Linked DNA regions of Oryctolagus cuniculus. The protein of the gene in region 1 purifies or fractionates together with the protein of each later gene. This does not show direct contact. Links are inferred from orthologs where the notes say so. Each region holds a gene or a part of one and is shown on either strand. Other genes may lie near its edges. The genes, in order: ABL1 and NCK1.

Region 1 (3,816 bases):
GGATGGATGAATGGATTGTTCAATGGAATGAAATAGGAGGAGGGCGAAGGGGACTTGAAAACCCAGGCATGGAAAGCCCACACCTGCTACTAACTCACAGGCACGCGCACACGCCCACACGAGCACGAGTGATGCCACGGCACGGAAGTGAAGGGGCAGTCCCGCCCCGAGGGGTGGTCCTCCGAGCACAGCACTCAGGGCTGAGGAGAAACCCAGGTTTGGGTAGGCAGCGTTTGTGCGCAATGTATGAACAAACACACAAGCATTAAAGAAAGTGAAAAAGATATACATCCAGGGGCCAGCGCTGTGGCGTAGCGGGTAAAGCCACGGCCTGCAGTGCCGGCATCCTATATGGGCGTGGGTTCAAGTCCTGGCTGCTCCACTTCCAATCCAGCTCTCTGCTAAGACCTGGGAAAGCAGCAGAAGATGGCCCAAGTGCTTGGGCCCCTGCACCCGCGTGGAGACCTGGATGGAGCTCCTGGCTTTGGATCAACCCAGCTCCGGCCGTTGTAGCCATCTGGGGAGTAAAATAGCGAATGGAAGACCTCTCTCTCTGCCTCTGCCTTTTAAATAAATCAATCTTTTGAATACACAGACACACAGACACACACACACACGCACGCTCCCCGCGGCCTCTGCGCGGCCCTCACGCCGCCCCCCAGACTGGCGCCGGGGCTCACATGCTCGCATGAGTTCGTAGACCTTCTCCGGGCAGCCTTCCGGGCGCTCCATGCGGTAATCCTTCTCCAGCAGCTCATAGACCTGGGACAGGTCGATCCCCGGGTACGGCGACATGCCGTAGGTGGCGATTTCCCAAAGCAGCACTCCAAACGCTAAAAGGAAGGAGAAGGAGGCTGGAAGGCTCACGCCACTGCAGCAGACACGCCAGGGGCACCCGCAGAGGCAGCCCCGCTGGTCCCGCACGAACCACCAGCACCCTGGGCAGCGCAGACAGGAGAGTGCCTGACACGGACGGAAAACACTGCGGGAGGGAAGACGGCGAAGCCATCAGCCCCCCGGGGCCTTTCAGCCAATGCAACCACCTCGCGGGATGTGGGGTGTCAGGAGCCTGGGCCGGCAAACAGGCAGCCACAGTCTACGCACAGGTCTGTGGCCGGCTAGCTGTGCGCCCAGCACAGGCCGCCGTGGCTCTGTGGCCGGCTAGCTGTGCACCCAGCACAGGCCGCAGTGGCTCTGTGGCCGGCTTGCTGTGTGCCCAGTACAGGCCACTCATTTCTAGGCGTACAGAATTATCTCCTCTGCCAACTCAAAAAACTGCCAAACAAATTTCATGGAATCTTTGTAAGTTTTGCAACCCCAGCTTATGGCCTTGACACTTCCTCCCCTGTTGAAGGAACCGGGGCTCCGCTGAGAAGCAGGGACTCAGGTGTGAGTGAGCCTTGTGCATCCTGCCATTCCAGACAGCATGGACATCATGGAAGACTCCAAGGGCAACTCCAAGAGGACCAGGAGTTACCCTGAAGCTCCCGCTGGCCGACGATGAGATACAGCGGGTTAAGCAGCTCCTGGGATTCCCCTCGTCCCACACAGGAGTGCCTGGTTCCAGTCCCGAACGCTCCATGCTTCTGATCCAGCTTTCAGCTAATGCACCCAGCACAGAGCAGATGACGGCCCAACGACTTGGGCCCTTGCCATCCACACAAGAGGCTGGGACAGCTCCTGGCTCCGGGCTGAGCTCCGGCTGTCCCAGGCATTTGGGGAGAGACCCGCAGACGGAAGATATACCTTGCTCCGTGTGTGGGTGTGTGTCTCCCCCTCTCTATGTGTCAGATAAAGCTCCCCGGTTCATAATGACATCAGCAGTGACAAACAACAAAACCTCACGGGGCACCACGGAGGGGCATCAACAGACCAGCTTATCTCAAAAACTGGTAAACAAAGGCAGAGGAGCAGGCACTCACCCTGCCGCTTCTACGCTAGTACTAGCACCAAGGCCCGGGCAGACAAGGGGAGGGGCTTCTTGCAGAGCAGCCTGCTAATAAGTGAGTGAGGAAAGACGGATCCAGGGAACCTCCTCCTGGCATCCCTTGTCAAGCAGCGCGTCTAGGCGCTGGGTGTCGGCACACGCGGACAGGACGCACTGCCGAGGACAGAGCACGCCACCTTCCCAAGTCCTGGTGGAAGAGGCCCAAGGCAGGCCCGGATGTGACGAAGCTGCCGACTCAGCGACCCAGCGACGGGACCCCAGAAGCAGCGGTGGCAGAGAAAACCCACCACGTGGGAAACTCAAGGACAAGCGACGGAGCTTCTGCATAAAAGGAAACCAAGGGAAAAAGGACACGGAGAGGGAGCCGTGGCTGGAGGCGGCTTCGGCAAAGACCGGCCAAGCACTGCGGGAACCACACCTGGATCTCAGTGCAAACTGTGAGAAACAGCCCGAGCTTCACAGTCCAGCTAGCTGGGAGCCGAACACCAGACACAAAATAACATGGGGCCTGGGATTCGCTTTTAAAAACATGAGGGTTGGGGGCCAGCACTGTGGCGCAGCGGGTTAAAACCTGCAGTGCCGGCATCCCGTATAGGCAGCGGTTCGAGCCCCGGCTGCTCCTCTTCCGATCCAGCTCTCTGCTGTGGCCTGGGAAAGCAGTGGAAGATGACCCAATAATAAGTTACAGCAAGCTATTCTGCATAACTGAGGAAGAAAAAGCTCACTCTCACTCTACCTTGACAAGAAAACAAAGGGGAAAGGATTTTAAATGACAAAGAAGCAGGCGGTTCCTGTGGTGTAGTGGTTGTTACGCTTGCCCTGGTTTGAAACCGGCTGGGAACAAATGGCCCTTTCTCTCTCTCTTTCTTCCTCTGCCTTTCAAATAGACAAAACGAATCAAAAGTAGAGAAATAAAGTGAGAAAGAAGGAGAAGTAATGGAGACCAGGGACTGGAAGGGAAAGAGCTGGTGCATGAGGCAGAGGAGAACGGAGCAAAGCCCCCCGGGAGTGGACTGCGCCGGGCAGCGGCTCTTACCCCACACGTCGGACTTGATGGAGAACTTGTTGTAGGCCAGGCTCTCCGGCGCGGTCCACTTGATGGGAAACTTGGCTCCGGCGTGGGCCGTGTAGGTGTCCCCTGTCATCAGCCTGCTCAGGCCAAAATCAGCCACCTTCACCAAGTGGTTTTCCCCTACCAGGCAGTTCCGGGCAGCAAGGTCCCTGGGAAGGAAGGTCACCGTGAGACCCCCAGGATTCGGCTGCCCAAATCCACCACCAGCAAGCGAAGGTGCAGAATTGGCGAGGCAGACGGCGTCGGCCCCTGCAGGCATTCAGACCCTGCAGGCTGGGGGCGGTGCCAGCCCCTGGGCGCATGGCCTGAGCCCCAGCACGGCGCCAGGGGCAGCCCGGGAGGCACTGAGACCTGCAGCAGGTTAGTTACCCTGTAAGGTGAGGATGATGATAAAGGCACCTACACCCTGGGGCTGCGCGCGATGAACGAACGTGTCAGGTGCTTCCAGCAATGCCTGGAGAGCAGCGGCGAGTTACGTAAGGGCGCCGTTACCGCTACTGCACGCTGGCACGGCAACCAACGCTCAGCCCAATCCTCCGTCACAAGGAACGTAGGTAGGACAGTCTCCACTTGTCCTACCCAGGCATGACCAGGACGGAGTAAAATAAAGCCCGGGCGCCTCCACCTAGATTCTGCCTCCTCCCTCCCTCTCTCTTCCTGATGCTCACCCAAATGCCTCCTCGCAACTCTCTTCCTCCCGCCTCCTGAGCCTCCAGGGAGGCAGCCGTTTAACCTCTGCTCCACGGATGTTAACCACAAATGCACAAGGCACACCGGGGTGCAGGAGTGCGAGGAG
Region 2 (2,655 bases), on another chromosome or scaffold:
ATCCAGGTCTCTCATACAGGTGGTCGGGAAACCAATTACTTGAGCCATCACCACTGTCTCCCAAGGCCTGCATTAGCAAGAAGCTGTAATCAGGAGCTGGAGCTGAGAACCCAATCTCGGTACTCCATCGTGGGATGCAGGTTTTTTTTTGGACAGGCAGAGTGGACAGTGAGAGAGAGACAGACAGAGAGAAAGGTCTTCCTTTTGCCGTTGGTTCACCCTCCAATGGCCGCCACGGCTGGCGCACTGCGGCCGGCGCACCACGCTGATCCGAAGGGGGGAGCCAGGTGCTTCTCCTGGTCTCCCATGGGGTGCAGGGCCCAAGCACTTGGGCCATCCTCCTCTGCACTCCCGGGCCACAGCAGAGAGCTGGCCTGGAAGAGGGCAACCGGAAAGAATCCGGCGCCCCAACCGGAACTAGAACCCGGTGTGCAGGCACCGCTAGGTGGAGGATTAGCCTAGTGAGCTGTGGCGCCGGCGGGATGCAGGGGTCTTAACTGCTAGGCTAAACATCTATCCCAAGGTCTTCCAATTTTGAAAGGGAAATCTGAAGTCTAGATTTTTATAATAAATATATCAGTATTTAAATGTGGGCCAATGTTTAAAAGACACTTTGCAGGCCAAATAAAATATGCCCAAGACACTTCTGCTTTAAGAGTTGCATTACTAGGGGCTGGTGTTGCAGGTAAAGCTGCTGCCTGCAGTGCCGGCATCCTGTATGAGCAACGTTCAAGTCCCAGCTGCTCCTCTTCCAATCCAGCTTTCTGCTATGGCCTGGCAAAGCAGTAGAAGATGGCCCACGTCTTTGGGCCCCTGCACCTGCATAGGAGACCCAGAAGAAGCTCCTGACTTCGGATCAGCACAGATCCGGCTGTTGCGGCCAACTGGGGAGTGAACCAGCGGATGGAAGACTTCCCCTCTCTCTCTCTCTCTCACTCTGCCTCTCCTTCTCTCTCTCTGTGTAATTCTTTCAGTAAAATAATAAATCTTTAAAAAAATAAATAAATAACATCGCTAAATGTAACTTTGGCTAATTTTTATGTTCAAATAGCTCCAGGGAAATACACAGTATTTTGCATTCAAACTGCTCATCTTTTTATCTAACACTCTGAATAGTATGCATCAAAGCCAGAAGGCTCTCTGATACTTTCAAACTCCCAAAGTTTCAGTGAGCCAGAATAGGCATCTCTAAAGGAAAATGGATCACTCTTTCCTACCAACTATGAGCTCTTCTGAGGGCTTAGCTACAGGCCTCATTTTCATGAACTTCACATCAGTAAGTTCAATTAATTACTCCTCTCTTTTTCCTCTCTCTCATTTTCTTCTTACTTGCTTTCAATCTTTTATACAATTAGACATTCATTTTTTGTGCAACTGCATTCACACAAAGCAAATGCCAAACATCATTTGATAAATGGAAAAGCATCAAGGAAAGAAGCCATTTGTAAGAAAAACAAGTGTTACCAAATTCTAATATCCTAGACAGTAGCCCAAATACTCAATATAAGTATGTTCTTCAATTTTCATGGTTTTATAGTTTTACTAGCTATTGCAATAAAATTTTCCTATTATTGTAAATGCATTTCAAACATGGGAAATGTAAAACAGGCTTTTGAGCTATACAAATAAGTGTATTCCAACTTCTAAACAACCAATTTATGAAGGAATTTAAATATCAAATTTTAAGTTTAGGGAATCTCCTATATGTTGTAGGAATTGTGATGATTACTTTATTATGCACTGCATCCAGTAACAACTTAAGAAATATTTTCCCAATTACATCTACTATATTATTCTACTCTCAAGGAAGAAGCCAATGTTCAGTTTCGTCTATTTTTCAGTTTAAAGCAAGAGAAAATATTCTAGGTATGTGAAGCCAACAGAGCTAGTAAAAGTCACATATTCCATGGTATAACACTGCTATAGGTATCTTTTATTAAAAATAGACAGAAGTAGAACAAATACTGACTTCAGCTTCAGAACATTTAAGTTGATGTCCCAGCTTACCACCTTAGGGAAAGATACTTTACTTCTCTCCAGTCTGTTTTTTGTTTTTGTTTTTTAATACCCAGAGCTCTGTTTCCATTCACCTTTGAAAAATCAACTTACCGAAGATTCACTATCACGAATGAGGAAATCTCCTTCATGCCCTCTTTCATTTAATGCCATTTCTGCTTGATGCCTGGTGACTTTGCCATAATACCAAGGATTGCCAGCAAACTTCCCAGTAAGTGAAGGCCTAATATAATCACATTGTGGAGGTGATGGTTCCAAACCCGAGGTTAATGGATTATTCTGCATGATGGTGACATAGTTTTTTGGCACCAGACCAACCATTCCATTGATCTTCCTGCACTTCCACCACTCCGGGTCATTTTCAGGTTTTTCAATAACATCCATGACATCTCCTTTCTCAAAATTAAGTTCTTCATCATTGGATGAGCTGAATGGGTAAAGAGCCTGTACCACATGCAACACTTGCCCAGTATTTAAGTTATTGACAACTGCTGCTAATTTCTCTGATAGAGAACCCACATGGTCACCCAAAGGACTGTCACCTTCTTCAGTTACATAGTTTGAAGGGAACCACCCAATTTGTCCATTGTAGCTACCCCGCCACCACCCATCACTGCATTTCTCCATGACGATCACCTT

Evidence for each region.
Region 2: the proteins of ABL1 (region 1) and NCK1 purify together in Homo sapiens (affinity purification with western blotting; 3 studies listed by BioGRID). This does not show direct contact. The link is inferred for Oryctolagus cuniculus from reciprocal best matches to the Homo sapiens genes ABL1 and NCK1.

The regions. Positions count from the first base shown.
Region 1 is NC_091432.1:233,493,283-233,497,098, reverse strand, and holds part of ABL1 (tyrosine-protein kinase ABL1), read right to left. Parts: intron 3,170-3,816; coding exon 2,985-3,169; intron 834-2,984; coding exon 681-833; intron 1-680. UniProt on the Homo sapiens protein: Non-receptor tyrosine-protein kinase that plays a role in many key processes linked to cell growth and survival such as cytoskeleton remodeling in response to extracellular stimuli, cell motility and adhesion, receptor endocytosis, autophagy, DNA damage response and apoptosis.
Region 2 is NC_091435.1:144,672,365-144,675,019, forward strand, and holds part of NCK1 (SH2/SH3 adapter protein NCK1), read right to left. Parts: coding exon 2,110-2,655; intron 1-2,109. UniProt on the Homo sapiens protein: Adapter protein which associates with tyrosine-phosphorylated growth factor receptors, such as KDR and PDGFRB, or their cellular substrates. Maintains low levels of EIF2S1 phosphorylation by promoting its dephosphorylation by PP1.